Linked DNA regions of Drosophila melanogaster. The protein of the gene in region 2 purifies or fractionates together with the protein of the main gene of each other region. This does not show direct contact. Each region holds a gene or a part of one and is shown on either strand. Other genes may lie near its edges.

What was found. The genes of interacting proteins can lie anywhere in the genome.
Region 1: the proteins of ZAP3 (region 2) and nocte purify together in Drosophila melanogaster (affinity purification with mass spectrometry, with the first as the bait; one large-scale study listed by BioGRID). This does not show direct contact.

What each region holds. Positions count from the first base shown.
Region 1 is NC_004354.4:10,470,252-10,478,229, reverse strand, and holds the start of nocte (no circadian temperature entrainment), read left to right. Parts: upstream 1-3,554; 5' UTR 3,555-4,177; exon of another isoform or gene 4,178-4,292; intron 4,293-4,642; exon of another isoform or gene 4,643-5,061; intron 5,062-6,086; 5' UTR 6,087-6,260; coding exon 6,261-6,350; intron 6,351-6,446; coding exon 6,447-6,612; intron 6,613-6,691; coding exon 6,692-7,978. Other genes in the region: CG2887 (uncharacterized protein), read left to right, coding at 1-835; CG2889 (uncharacterized protein), read right to left, coding at 1,079-1,622, 1,835-2,047, 2,105-2,549, 2,608-3,028, 3,090-3,212.
Region 2 is NC_004354.4:10,076,495-10,084,525, forward strand, and holds the start of ZAP3 (ZAP3), read right to left. Parts: upstream 5,999-8,031; 5' UTR 5,811-5,998; coding exon 5,439-5,810; intron 5,378-5,438; coding exon 1,992-5,377; intron 875-1,991; coding exon of another isoform or gene 856-874; exon of another isoform or gene 512-855; intron 1-511. Other genes in the region: CG2972 (uncharacterized protein), read left to right, coding at 6,754-6,828, 6,888-8,031.

The sequences.
Region 1 (7,978 bases), 390 kb from region 2:
CTCCCGCAATGACAAGGGTACCCGACGCAATACCGCGAATCAAGGTAGCGGTTTCGGCGATGGAACGGCATTTGGTAGCTGTGGTGGTGGCAGTGGCAGTGGCAGTGGCGGTGGCAGTGGCGGTGGTCGCCAGAACAACCCGCGGGCCAACTTTGGACGTTTCTTCGACAACAGCGAATCATATTCTACGTTCTTCGAGGATATCGAAAACGATTTTGACAGCGACGATGACGTCCTGTTGGGTGGAGGAGCGGGCGCGCCTAAACGTCGTTGCGAACAACAGTCACCCCAGTCAAGCATCGAACATGTAATATACGTTGCTCTGGAGGACATTGCCAACGGGTGCAACAGGCGCATGAAGATCTCCCGGGCTTCGGGTAGGAACGGCGTTGATGGGGTACAATATGACAGAATTCTCACTGTCAAGATACCTCCGGGCTGTAAGGCTGGCACCAAGATCTGCTTTCCCAATGAGGGTATTCAACTGCCCAACCTTGAGCCCGCCAACGTCGTGTTTATAATCCGGGACAAGCCACACCCAATCTTTCGCCGCGATGGCAACAATCTGCTGTACACAGCCGAAATCTCGCTGAAGGATGCTCTGTGCGGTTTACACGTGATGGTGCCGACGCTTCTTGGCAGGCCGATGGAACTCAAGACCGACGTGGGCGAGGTAATCAGTCCGAAATCCGTGCGCCGCATTCTGGGCTACGGATTGCCCGATTCCATTAATAATTCCCGTCGCGGCTCCATCGTCGTCAGGTTCTCCATCCAGTTTCCAGACGCCATATCCAAAGAACTCGCATCCTCGCTCGACAGACTTCTGCAAAACTGATCGAATGGACACCTGGAGATGTTATCCGTCTTTATGAACGGATCAACGGATCATACATACAACAAAAAATCATCTGTGCTCCACATAAAATTACATATTTTTTTTCTATGTGATTCAATAAAGATCTTATAATCTACCTCTAACAAGCATTGTCCGCTACAAATACCTCTAATAAGAATGAAACCAGTGAAGTACAGTTTAATTATACGTATAATGATTAAACACAATTGTGAGGGGTCAGGTTTAAACGTCGGCCGGTTTGAACTGCGGATTGTGCGAGCGTGCCATCTTGGCGCGCAGCCACTCGTCCGCGTGACGCTGCTTAATGTGGACATACATATTGGAGCGGGAACGGCACTCCTTGGGGCAATGCGGACAGTTGTACAGCTGCAGGCCCGTGTGGATGGCCATGTGCTCGTCCAGGTTGCGCTGCTGCTTGAAGGTTTTCTCGCAGAACGTGCACTGCAGATTGGTGGTCAGCTTGTGGGCATATTTGACGTGACCGCGGAGCGCTGTGCGCGATGTGCAGGTCTTGCCACAATGCGGACACACGGTGTCCGTGCTGTCGTGTGTGAAGCGGTGCAGGCGCAAGCTGTGCTCGTTCTTCAGCCAAACACGGCAGATGGGGCACTCCACAGCCGGGGCCACGACGCCCTGGTGCTCCAGCAAATGGCGCTCGAAGGAGGGCTTGAACTTGAACTTCTTCCCGCAAATGTCGCAAACGTGACGATGCAGGTCTTCGTGGATGGATTGGATGTGCCTTCGCAGGCGGTGTACATTGGCAAAGCTGTAACAGATAATTTCATATCAAATACTCAACTTGCAAGACAGTTTTTTTATCTTAAAAAAATTATTTCTTTCTTGCTATTCTCGAAACAGTGTGAGTGCGGAATAAGTAGACAGCTATCCCTCTCATTTGCGTGTGGAATGAATAAAGATTACTAATTCAAATATGGGGCAAGAATTCCAATTCGATCAGAGACCCTGCTCTATTCTCACCTTTTGCAGCAGATCTCGCAGGTGTGCTCCAGTTGATCGGTGTCGTGCTTGGCCAGATGATTGGCCATACGGCGCTCGCTGCTGAAGGTGCGTTCGCACTTGGGGCACGGGAACTTGAGCACCTTGCCGATTTGAGCCACCTTGTTGTGCACCGTCTCGATATGAGTGGCCAAGTAGTCCTGCGAGTTGAGCGACTTCTTGCAAATGGTGCAGCTATGGGATTTTAAAGTCTATGTAGCAACAGACAGAACCCTCGGGCTTCAAACTCACGTAAATAGCTTGGGGTTGATATGTTTGCGGATGTGGTCCATCAGCTTGGAAGCGCGTGTAAAGACTTTGCCGCAGCACTTGATGTAGTACTCGCGCTGGTGCACCTCCAGGAAGTGGGTCTTCAATTCGGATAGGTAGGGAGCACTAAATTCGCACAGGTCGCAGCTTGCACTCATGTAGCTAGCAATGGCCTTCTCGTAGCTCTTGGCCAGCTGAGCACGGGAGCAGCCCTTGGGCTTGCGCTCGAGAACGGCCTGTAGCTCGGACTCCTGCGACTCGGTGGTTGTTCGCTGGTCAGGTGCCTTCCTGCGCCGACGCTTGCCACCATCGTCGAGCAGATCTGCAAGCTCCTGCTGCAGCGATATCGGACCCTGATCCTTGGAGGAACGTGCCGAGGTTTTGCGCTTGGGCTTCATTTTCGATTTCAGACGGACCAGGGGTTCATCTGCAATGGAACAGGAACTTAGTTACGGCTAATCCTTGGGAAACATTAAGATAATAACCATCTGAGGAGTCAGATTCAGATTCCGGCTGCCCCTCGGTCACCTCCGGTTCGCTATCACTAGCTTGCAGGCAGGGCTTCTCGTCCTCCTCCTCCTCGCAGGGCAGCTGCTCCTTGATCGGTTCCCTGACTTCCACACTGTCCACATTCACGTCCAGCACGCTTCCCAGCAGACTAAGGTTGTGCAGGTCCAACGGTTTCTCGTCCATGTCGCCAGCCGCCAGCGGCAGTTCGTCGATGTTGACGTCCACGTCCACACCGCCCGTCCACTTCATGGCCGCACAGTCGACGTCCACGGTAAGGAACTCCTTCTTGAGTGAGCACTGCTTCTGCTCCACCAGCTGCCAGAAGCCATTGAAGTCCTCCAGATGCTCACAGCACTCGGTACAGACGCTGGTCGAGATGCCGTCGTCTGGTAGGATCTGCATGGGATGGCTTATTGGAATTGTTTTGATACCATTGGTATTTGCCAGATACACTCACCTCCAGCTGCAGAAACTTCGCAATCATCTTGACCAGGCGCGTCTCCGCAAGCGTATCGTCCGTCTCAAAGAGGAAGACAGCGCTTCCGGGACTAAGACATCGCAGGCAAAGGCGACAAATCATTTCGCGCGAACAGAACCACAACGCAAAGTCAAATAAATAAAAAATTTAAACAGTTTTTCGTTGTAAACAACATAATTCACCTATCGTGAATCGATAACAGAATCCAATTGTGAATGGCAAAACTTCATCTCAGGAGTTTTTTGCGGGGTGGCCACCCTGATCGTTGAGTATTTCTCTTTAATTTCTCTTACAATTTATGGTCTACGTTTTTAATTGTCTGCAAAATACGCTGTAAACGATTATCCATTAATTAAAAATCGAAAATATGAAACTTAATATATCGCTGGATACACATCAAAACGATGGCATTCTGCGGACGGTCAGGCAGCACGCCAATCGACCCACACAACTCTGGCAACGCTTGCCGTAAAATGGCAAAAAAATAATACATACGATTTAAAACTAATGGACAATTACGTATTACGTGAAAAGAACGCAACGCAAATAATCAAAACAAATAAGAAACGCAACTCGTGTGCGTGTGTAGTGTGTGTGCAGAGCTAAAACCTAGCGAAGGAAAGGCAAAAACCCGTGGAAAAAGCGAATTCAAACGGGTTTACTCGAAGCCTCCTCACCCGATACCATTTTCCACCTACACTTGCAAAAAAGCGACAGCGCGCGAGAGGGACGGCGCGAGTGAGCGGAGAGTGGGAGAGCGCAGTGCAAGTGAGTGGGAGCGAGAGCGCTGACAAAGCCAGCGCAACATAGCGAAAATCGCAACCAAATCGAAATCGAAATTCAACCAAATCGAAGATTCTGGCGAACAAAGGCGACTAACAACAACAACTGCAGCAGCGGCACGTCTCGTCTTGGTTGCGCTCTCTTTTGTTTTCGTCCCGTGTTTTAACAAGCGGCGAAACGGGCGCTGAGTAAGCGCCAGAAAGAGTGCAAAAAAAAGGCGAAGGAAAGAAAGAAGCCAAGGAGCAACGAACTGTGTTTGCGGTGTGTGCTCTGCGTGCGAAAGGGTAAGCTCTATGGTCTCTCATGCTCTCGCTCTGGAAGTAGGCCGGAACCGAGATTTGTTTGCTAAATTATGTTTAATTGCACAGCGGGTTTGTAAATCTGTGATTTTGTTTGTAGAAAATACGCATTGTATCAAAGAAATATTTTTGTCGGTTCTGTCAAATTCGACGTGTGGGAGTGGGAGGGAAGTTCAGCTAGTCATGTTGTCCCGCTCTATATCGCAAACAGCGTTGCATTTGTCGTCGGCAGGTCATCGTGGTCCGTTTTCTCTTTTTGTCGGCATCGATGCATAGAGTCCGTGTTAATTTCCGTTTAATCGCTAAATAGCACGCTCTCTAATTGTTTAATAATTGCCAGGCGACTGCCACCCCCGGAATTAGTTTCACTCGGCGGTCTGGCTGGATCCCAACGGACCAGGTGGCAACGCCGCGCTCCACACCACTCACGCACGCAATACATTCGAAAAGTGAGAAGTGGTAGAGGAAGAACTCGAGGAAGAAGAATTAGCGGCAAACTTTATGTTGGACGGTGAAAAGCAGAATCAAAAGATATCAATTTCCGCGAAGTTAACAGTTAAATAACCAACATACAGGCGGCCAAGTGTGCCAGCAGACCGCGAAACATTCGAAGTAAACAAATTCAAGCGTTTTCCATTCAGTTTATCATCGCTGCCCAACAAACGAAACTCCCCGAGTGTATTGCTGTGTGCGTGCGTGCTGTTTAAACGGTATATTTTACTCGTCTCTCCTCTTTGTTTGCCTTTGCCAGCCACTGTGCCATGCAAAATTAATAAAAGGATACGGCTGTAAAACAAAAGGTGGTCAAAAAAAAAAATTGCACTCGTCGATTAAATAATAACTATCAAATCCTCTCGGTTTCTGCGAACGTAAGTGTGTGTGTGTGCGTGATGTGTGCGCCTGTGCCTGCGTGGTGTTAGTGTGCGTTGTGCTTGTGAATGGTTGTTATTACAAAAAGGAGACATAGAATTGTTGCCAAGCGTTTAGATTGTCTTGTACTCCCCCCACTTGCATCTGTCAAATTGGTTACATTTTAAATGCCGGCCTTTGTTGTTGTCGCTCTTGTTGCGAGGATTTTACTGGCCCCGTTTTTTCTATTGTTGCTGTAGTTGTCAGCCATTGTTCGGCCGCCCCTTCACGCCCCCTGCCGCAATTATTACAAGACGCCACCGCAAAAAATTCTTTCAATGCGTTGCCGCTTCTGCCGCTGCTGGCGCTGGTGTGTGTGTGTGGGTAAATCTATCTAGCTGTCCCGCTTCCGCTGTCACCCGCCCAAGGCAGCCTCTCAGTTGCGTGTGCTGCGAGGCACTGGCTGTCCTGCTCGCACCAAACATTGCCTGCATTCAGTGTCGGATCAAAGGGGGGAGCGAAACTGGGAAATAGTTGCCCCAAACGTTTTCGTAATAAACGCAATATCAACAAAATACCAAATGATTCTACAAACAGTTTCGAATGGTAGTAGTCGAATGGAATTACACTCTAGTTGTTACTTTAACGAAGCATTAAGAACTTGAACGTATTTCGCAACAGCATGTGTTGGAAAACTACCAAGAAACTTCTTTAGTTTCAGTGGAAATGAAATATCAAAAGCATTTCTACTAAAACTCGGTTTAGTTGAAACCCATACCTATTATTGTTTGAAGAGGTTATTTTCCAAATTATTTGCAATATCTTTCTAAGAAGAACCAATTTTCGCTACAGATCCACCTCTGTAAGCGTTAGTGGTGCGGATCGGTTGGGGGTGGCTAAATAGAGGAGTTCCCGGACACACAATAACCAGCGTGTTGAAAACAATTTGTCGGGAGCACCACCCACTTGCAACTGACTAGCCTCGCCTCGCTACGCCTGCACCTATACTCAATTAAATGCCTATCTACGCTTTTGTATTTTGCAGCCCACCAGAAAGACTGAAACAAGGAGCTTCGGCCCAAAAGCGATCCCAGCTCCTTAAACTCATTCTCGTCAAGAACCACAGCCACATCCTAGCCCATCCTCCAGCGCAGCGGGAAGACGAGGAGCGCGGCGGTGGCGAGAAGGAAGCTAACGCTAATGAGGATCTATTGGCAGCATGAGTACACTGGGGGGAAGTAGGGGAGAGCGAAATGCCAAGCCCAAATTCACAGCGTTAGATATAAATCGCATGTACAAGAATAGCCGCGTAAGTAGCGAGCCCCTAGACCTAGATCTAGATCTACATCTAGATCTTGATAGATCCAAACCTATCTGATCGCCAACTTGTTCTTATTGTTTGCAGGGCGAGTCAAGTGAACCATCTGCACAAAAGAATCAAGTGCCACGTAAACATGGAATGCAAATCTTGGGCAAAGTGCCGTCCGCTAGGCGACCACCAGCCAATTTGCCATCCCTGAAGGCCGAGACCCACACCAGCAGCAACAACAATCTCTTAGTCTCAGTCGAAGGTGGGTGTTCTACGATTTTATCTTATTGAAAGCGTGTGTACTAAGATGTACCTTTAACTGGGTGAATTTTCCATTTTAGGAGCCACATCTGGTGGGGCGGGCGCAGGCGGAGCAGCGGGATCTGGCGCGGCAGGAACCAACACTAGCCACAACAACACCACTGCCCACAGCGGAAGTTCAGGAACGAGCGGCGGAGCGGGATCAGGCGGCGGAGGAACTGCGTCTTCATCTGCTGGTGGCCATCTATCCCAGCAGCTGACTCACAGCCAGCATCAGCACAATAATAACGTCGCTCTCGGCCCTAACGCCGGAAAGTTTGTCAACAGCAACAACGGCAGCAGCAACAACAACGCCGGCAGCTCAGGCAGCGGCAACAAGAACTTCAAATTAATCAACAACTCCGTGGGCAGTTCCGGCGGAGGCGGACAAGGAGGGTCGGGCGGCGGCGGATCGTCAGGAGTAGGAGGTGGATCAGGGTCAGGATCGGGCGGACACTCAGTCAACTCACCCAAGACATGGTCTGCAATTACCACAGGACACGAGCGGGGCTCGGGCGGTCAGAACTATGGACGCCAGCAACAGCAGGTGGTCCCCCATTATCAGAGTCCACAGTTCCAGTACGAATTTCCCACGCTGGACGGCACAGTTGGCAGCGGCGCCGGCGGAGGATCGGGAGCGGGTGTGGGTTCAGGATCTGGAGCGGGCAAGAGCCATTACCAGAATCAGGTGCACCATGCCGGCCACCAAAACCATCACCAGCATCAGCAGCACCACCAGCAGCATCAACAGCACCACCACCAGCAGCAACAGCACCATCGGGACTACCACCATGGCCACGGGCGCCAGTATGGACACCACTCGCATCGCGACTACAGAGATGGCAGCGACGACGTCGGCGGCGGGTCCGCGGATCTGGGCGAGCTCAGCCTTCGGCCACAGAACGACACGGCCGCCTGGTTGCAGCAGCAGGAGAAGGCGGCCAAGGTGGCAGCAGCTGCGGCAGCGGACCAGGGCCTCAACCTACAGGGCCCGGGCCACCATCAGATGGGCGGTAATGGCGGAGCAGGAGGAGGGTCGGGCGGAGCTGTGCCCCTGCCCATACTATCGCTGATGCCCTCGTTCATGCGTAGCGGAGCTCCGATGCCCGCCAGTGGAGCGACAGCGGCCAGCATCTTGGCCGGCGGATCGTTGGACACTTCTGCGTTGCCCAACGCTCCCTACCAGAACGGAATCCTGGGTGCTCGGTCTGCCTCGCCAGCTGTGGTGGGCAGTGGAAGCTTCAGGGCGGCCACTGCCATTCCCAAGCGACCACCGACCTCCTCGTCGCCCCCACAATCTGGCCTAGGCATTGGAGGATCACCCACTC
Region 2 (8,031 bases):
ATTTGTTAAGATATCAGTTTTCAAACAGATCCTGCGATAATCCCTATGATTAATTGGATTGGATATATTAACTATGTTTAAAGATTAACCAGAGCCAATGCTTAGCGATCGGATGTATAATTATATTTTATGAATGATATTGAAAGATTCATTTGCAGACGGACGACAAGTTGATCAAAGAACGAAATTGAAAAAGGATCTCCCCCATGAACGTTGTGTTTTGTCTTCCTTTATTGATATTAAATTCCATAGTATATATTGTAACAATTCGACTTAAATAATTTCGCGCTATAAAATTATTACATAGTACTCGAATCGAGAGATTTCTGTTTGCAAAGCAAAGAAGTTACTTATATAACTGCGTCGATTTGAAACGAACAAATAATATATAATAATTAGGTGAGAGCTTGGTCTATTTCTAAGTGATATTGCAGGGCAGAAGAAAGTAAAAATAGTTTATACCAAGGAAGCAACAAAATTAGATCCATACATGACGTTTTTTTTTTTTTTTAATTTTTTTTATACTCTTTTATTCGTTTTCTGCGAATGTGGCAGATGCGTATGCGTGATAATCTTAATATTATAGATCTTTCTCTGACTTCTGTACGCTGCATGTATATATAGCTAGTTATATATATTTAAGTATGTTTATTTTCGAGGAGTTTTCACGATCTGCCCTCCCTCGGATAGCCGCCCCCCAAAACAAAGTCTGTCCTCTGTCGCCTAATCAGATCCCGAATTCGAGTGTTCAGAGTTCAGAGTTCAGAGTTCAGAGTTCAGAGTTCAGAGTTCAGAGTTCAGAGTTCAGAGATCAAAGATCAGGTCCTGCGCTGCTGCTGCCGTTGCTGGAGCTTCCTACCGCCCCCTTCTCTTGCTGCACAGACAATGGATCAGACACAGATTGGTGGATATATGCATATATGCATAGGTATCGGGAACATCGCCAACAATCAATCAATACCACCGTTTAGATATTCATTTGCGTGTTGGTTTTCGTATTCGATTTGGTTATCGTTCGTTTGTAAGATTGTTTTAATTATATTTTTATATTCAGTATTTATATATCAGTATTGCATAAAAGTAGAAGAGAAGAAGAAAAAAACGGGGTTGGAATCGAAATTCCAGCATTAAAGATAACTAGAAAATGGCCTGGACAAGTTAACTAAATTAAATTTGATGATATCAATACAGATACAGATAGAGAAAGTGAAGGGTTACAAAAATGTGGGTAAGAGGGGGGATCGAGCGGAATAGTGCCCAACGAGAACGATATATATATATATATATATATATATATATATCTATAGGCTATCTGAACATCAGGCCGTTTGAGAAGGCATCCCACGGATATGCGTAATGTGAATAGAGCTGAATAAATAAGCATAGGAAGCAGATTGTCTACTTATTCGAAAACGTTGCATCAGATATTTCAGATATTTGTTAGCCCATCGATAGGCGATAGTACTGCGTACATTCGGACAAACAATCATTCGACGGCCCACAGGTTTTTGATAATGTTTTGGGTTTGGGTTAACCCCCAACGCATGGATTGATTAGGCATAATAATGGACTGATTATTCATAATAAAAACACTTAAAACAGTAACTATAAGTGCAAATAGCATCTGTACTTAATACAAAATCAACGAATTTACTGAATGGATAATGTTGTTTAAGGTTGTTTTTTTTTAACGTTTCAAAGATATGCATGCAGCCCTACTTGAATTTCCCCAAAACAAACATATTTCCAGATTGTACCATCCAAATGAATACTAATAGCAAGTGCTCTTGAGAAGATAACGTTCCCATATCTTCCTCAGACAATCAGACAATTGATATTGGAATTTGGCAGAGCATAGTGGGAGGGGAAAGAATCATCTTTCCCCGTTCCACAATTTTTTGTCAAGATATAACATTTCGATATTATTGTATACGTAGTGAAAAGATATTCAATCAAGTCGAAAAAGTTAAAAACAGATTGAAGACACATACCCGTCATTCCAGTTCTTCCGATTGTTGTTTCCTCCTCCTCCTCCTCCACCACCACCTCCGCCTGGATTTCCAAAGCGGTTGCCAAAGTTTCTGGGTCCTCTCGGTGGTCCTGCGCCCAGATCATCGTTGCCAAAGCCCGGACCCGGTGGGCCGCCTTGGCGTCGGAAGGGATTATCACTGATTGGTCCACCGTTAAAGCCGCGCATATTGTGACCTGGTCCATTGGGTCCCATGTGGGGTCGTGGACCGCCAAACGGCGGACCGCCAAAGTCATCACGTCCCGGACCGAAAGGACCATCGGGTCCGCGAGGCCCGAAGTTGCGGGAACCCGGACGCGGTCCGAAATTGGGCCCAAAGTTTGGTCCAAAGTTGGGGCCATTTGGTCTGAAGTGTGGTCCGAAATTCGGACCCGGACCCGGTAACGGTCCATTTGGTCTAATGAACGGCCCGCCCGGACCTCTAGGTCCAAAGTTGTGCCCGAAGTTGGGTCCAAAGTTTCCACGCGGTCCTGGACCGTTGGGTCCAAAGTTCCTGCCCGGTGGTCCAAAGCCAGGTGGACCATTGTTATCTAAGTCAATGAAATTATTTCCAGACACTTGATTTGGTCCAAAGACATCGAAACGTGATCCATCGTTTTGACCTGGACCAGAACCTGGACCTCCGCCTGGTCCGTTTCCGGGACCAAAGCCACCAGGTGGGCCATTATTGTCCGGTTTCTCACCGTTATTGGTGCTCACCGAGTCGCCGGCATCCTGCGACTTGTTTTCGTTGCCGCTGTTCTTCTTGCGCTGCCACTCGGCGAAGGACAATGGACGTCCATCCGTACCCGATTCCTGATCATCGCGTTGCTCGTGACGATCGCGCTGCTCGCGTTCCTGTACATTGGCCACCGCCTGGGAGAGATTGTTAATGAAATTTGGATCCTTGAGGGCATTGCTTAGAGATTCGTCGCCCTTCTTGTCGGCGGACACGTCGCCTGGCTGTTTTTCAGTTTCATCAGCCGCTTTCTTTTCGCTGGAATCCTTGAGCACCACATTGAAGACTGAGGACGAATTATTCTTGTTACTGCCATCGTCCACCAAATCCAGACCGGGTATGCCATCGTTCTTCTTGAAAATGCTGCCCATGGGCGTGTTAGGTGCGTCCTGTACCACCTCTTTCTCCTCATCATCGTCGTCGTCGTCGTCCAGGGAAATGGTGAATATGGGCTCCTCCTCCTTGACTTGCTTAGCGGGTATTTGTGAGGGAGCAGCTCTTTGACGGCGCTTGCCATAATTTGTGGAAACCGGAGGAGGCTGCGTGGGCGGAACCACTGTCGGATCTGGCACTACTGGTGCAGCTGGAGCTTTAACTTCGGGCGGCACCACGGGTGCAATCGGTGGAGCCACTGGGGAAGCTGTCGTTTTTGCTTTCTTTACATCAGATGAATTTTCATTTGATGCCGCCGGCTTGGTTGGAATTTCCTGGTTGGATTCATCTGGCTGTTCGTCCAATATCTGCTGGATGGCTTCCTGGGCGGTTTGGTACTGGTTGTGCATCCCCGGTGGCGGTCCTTGGTTGCCTCTGAATGCAGGTACTCCGGCGCTTTCGAAGGGGCGATTCTCTTTTCCAAAATGACCAGCATTTCCGGACTGTCTGTTCCCGTTTCCGAAGTTGGGACCCGATCCGTGATCCTGGTCACCCTGATCGGCAAAACGGCCCTGGCCTTCGAAGGGATCCTTATTTGGCTTCTGCTCCGCGGTCGTGGATGCACCTGCGGCTGCTTCCTTCCTTATGTCTGTGGTCGAGCCTCCTGCCGAACCACCCATCTGCAGTTGGCGACGTCGGCGCATCTGCTCCCTTCTCTCGGCGATGCGACGGCGCTGCTTCTCGAACTCCTCCTCGTAGCGTCGATACTCGTCACGATCCGGATGGTTGGCATTGGCCAGCTTCCATTCTTCGAACTGTTGCTCCCACTGATCGAACAGCAGATCGAAACTGGCCTCGTCCAAATCGGGTGGTTGCTGTTGATTGCGGTTCTGCTGCGACTGCTTGTAGGGCGCATTCGACTGATTGAAGCTGTTGCGCTGATTGTAATTGCCACGATTTGGATTGTAGCCGCCTGGACCAGAATCCCCACCGCCTCTCTCATCGGAAAATCCCTGGTTACGATTGTTATCCCGTCGATTGTTCTGGCGGCGATTGTTACTAAAGTTATTATTAATATTATTGCCGGGTCCTCCACCACGTCCAGCAAAACTGTCCTGGCTTTGCTTGCCTCCACTATCATCTCCAAAGCCGCCAAAGTTGCCTCCTCCTGCACTACCTTGATCTTGGCTATTGTAACTGTTGCCATAATTGCCAAAATCGGACTGTGGATTCTTAATGAATGGGTTCTTGCTTTGGTTTCCATCTCCACCTCCATCACCCCAACTATTGCGGCTATTCTGGATGCTATTTGGCTTGTTGTTAGTCCTCATTGGCGGTGTATCGATGTCGGAATTGATTCCTTGCCAGCGACTCGAGCGGGCATTCTGGCTGCTATTGTTTTGCTGCTGATGGTCCTGTGGCGGATCACTTATACTCGGTGGTGGTCCGCTCATCCAGGAATTCTGGTTTTGATACTGCTGATTGGGATTCGGAAGGCTTGGCGGTGGTTCGCTCATCCAACGATTTAGTTGCTGATCCCCGCCAGACGGCGCTTGATTTGAAGTCCCATCCCAGCGGCGATTGCCATCATTGGTGTTATTGTTAAATGACGTTCCATTCCAGCGATTGTTGACATCATTTGCCGGCGGCGGGCCATTCCAGCGATTGGGTTGGCCGGTATTATCAGGCGGCGGACCACTGGTATCCCAGGTAGGACGATTATTATTGCCCACACCGTGTTGATTATTTCCCCACTGGCCATGGTCCATATGGTTTAAATGCGGCTGCTGCTGTTGCGGTGTTGGTCTCTGCAAACTTGGCGGCGGCTGCTGGAGATTCGGAAATCCCTGGTTGTCTTGCCCGGCAATGTTGTAGTTCATCTGGTTCATTTGACCGCCACCATATCTATTTGGCGGCGGCTGTTGCATTGGCGGTGGTCCTGACCACATGCTTTGGATGTCATTCGGATGCTGATTGTAACCGCCTTTTTGTGGTGGCGGCGGCGGCTGGTTGTACATCTGCGGCTGGGCCATGATCTTACCGGGCAGTGGCGGTGCTCCCGCGACGGCTACGGGTGTAGTTGACTGCGCCGGCGAGGCGCTGACACCTTGGTAATAGTTATGTGCGACAGGATAGGCCTGTGGCCCGGGAGGAGCGACCACAGGGACGGGTGCTGCTGCAGGAGTCGCTACCACAGGCGCGGGCACGCCTTGAACTGCGGTAGTTGTGGCCGCGGCTGCGGCCATTTCACGCTTATACTAAAGATTTGGAAGACTACTATAGCAATATGATCGTCGATAACTAATTGATTTGACCCACCTGCTCACCGTACTGGGCATGCCACTTGGCGTACTCCTCCTGGTATGTCTGCCACTGTTGCCAGTGGTGCTGCAGTGCGTACTGCTGTTCGGGTGTCATGGCCGCGTACTGGGCGGCCGTATACTGTTGATAGGGGTTGCCAGCCCCCGTCGCCTGGCCGCTGCTATAGGGGTTGAATCCAGGGGCCGTTGTGACTGCGGCTGCAGTCGTGACTATGGGTGCAGAGGCACCGCTTGATGCTCCGGCTCCGGCGGTCGCGTCCGATGGAGGCGGAGGGGGCGGGGCGTCCGGCAACGGTGGCGGAACCGACGGTTGCGGAGGTAGAGCGGCAGTGGGAGCCACTGCGGCGGCGGTTTGCCATTGGCCCCACATACCGTGTCCACTGGATTGATTAGCCTATTAGCGAATAACACACTTGTACCGCTCGGTTGGGCTTTCACAAAATCCGGCGGATTGGCTCCGTTCCGTTTAAAATCGTCCACCTTTCACTAATTCAGTTTGCTATCTGAACGAATTGATAATGAAAACTTCGCCATATTTGGCTTGAAAACTAGAGATGGAACTGTCAGCTAAATGGGCCGGGCAGTGTGACCGTGCTGCGAGTGTGCATCCATATATCGCAAGCACCCTAGAATATTCCATTGCCAATTAATAAAATAATTTGAATGTAATCCAATGCACTTACAAGCCTACAAATTGAAAAATTAGCAAAGATAGCTTGCTTAAGTGATTGATTCGTAGAAGTTGTATTGATAATACGAAAATATGTTAAAAAAAAAATAAACAAGAAGATCAAACTGGCAGACCTTCTAATGAGCTTTTTGAAAATCTGCAGCAAATTAATAGATTTCTCAGACCAGGCATTTTACTACATTTTTTCATATCTGTAAATATGTTAATATAAGTTAAGTCAAGTGATATTTTGTTTAACTGATGTTTTTTGTAGTTTGTTAAGTAAATTTGGTAATTTTCCAACAGTCCGGCCGAAAGTCTAAGTAGTCAGGACCGATATCTCCCTGTGATAATAATATAATATCTCATAGAAATATATTTTAACATGAATTAATTTTAACAATTTTATTGAGAGCTAGCAATAAAATTTTAGGGAACGCATTCATTTAGCTTTGCCTAACTCTTAAAAATGTAAAATTTAATTAACTAATATTAAAATCACAAATTCATAAACACTTTTTGGTATTTTTAGCATACCCTAACGTAACGGTCACAGCTCACTACAGCCACACTAATCGCGACACGTGCAGAAATTGTTATTTTTTGCCGTCCTTTGTTTTTCATGTGAAAATTAGCACTGAAAATGGCCGAAACGAGCGAAAAGATCAAGTTCCTTGTGGCGGACACCACAGCCTTTATAAACGCCGTGCCCCTGAATGTAAGTCACGCACAATTTGCCCATTCGAGCCATCTAAAGCCGCCACTAATCCCCTACAGGAATACGCGGAGCAGGTGCTCACCGTGCCGGATGTGGTGGCCGAAGTGCGCAACAAGCGCCAGATTCGCCGCCTCTGCGTTCTGCCCTTCGACCTCCAGGTGCGCGAGCCTCGTCCGGAGAGCATTAAACACTGCGTGGAGTTCGCCAAGAAAACGGGTGACTACGCGAGTCTCTCGGGGATCGATCTGAAAGTGATCTCGCTCACCTACGAACTGGAAGCAGACAACGTGGGCACTGATCACCTGCGCCAGGAGCCTGTGATGGCGCAGACCATTGCGTCCAAGGATAAACCCGAGGAGATGCAGGATGCTAATAACAAGAGACTGGTCGGTTGGTACATGCCCGAGGGCGAAGAGGAGGAGGAGGAGGATTCCGAGGAGGAAGATGATTACTCCCAGGAAGAGGACGATGCTGAAGGCGATGAGCAGGAGGCAAATGAATCCCCAGACACTGTTAAAGCCGCCATCGAAGCCCAATTGGCCGGCAAGGAACCATTTGCCAGCGAGACCATCGAAAAGGAGGAGGACCAAGACCAGGAGCCCAGTCAGGAGGAGCTGGACAAGCTGTTCGAGCAGCTCAAATGCGCACCCAGTGCCGAGGAAGAGAAAGAGCTCTCGGAACTGCTCGTTTCCCAGCCGGCCGAAGTAGATGAGGAGGTATCCGAGCCACAAGAAGCCAAACAGAGCCAAAATCTCGACGAGGATGTGGGTGACGATGGCTGGATCACGCATTCAAACATCAAGAAGGCCAAGAAAGCGCTCGAGGGCAAAGTGGAAACGGATGAAGTGCCGCCCGTCGCCTGCATGACCACCGATTATGCGCTGCAGAACGTGCTCAAGCAGCTAAATCTCCACCTGGCCGCCCTCAATGGCCGGATCATCAAGCAGTTGCGCACATATATACTCCGCTGCTACGCGTGCTACAAGACCACCAGCATCATGACCAAGGTGTTTTGCCCCAATTGTGGCAACAAGACGCTGAAACGTGTGGCCGTCAGTCTGGACGAGAACGGTCGCCAGGTGATTCACATCAATACGCGCCGTCCGCTGACCAATAAGTACAAGAATCAGAGCCTGCCTCGCTTCCAGGGCGGCAAGCATTCGAGAAATCCGATCCTGTTCGAGGATCAGCCGATGCCCAGGC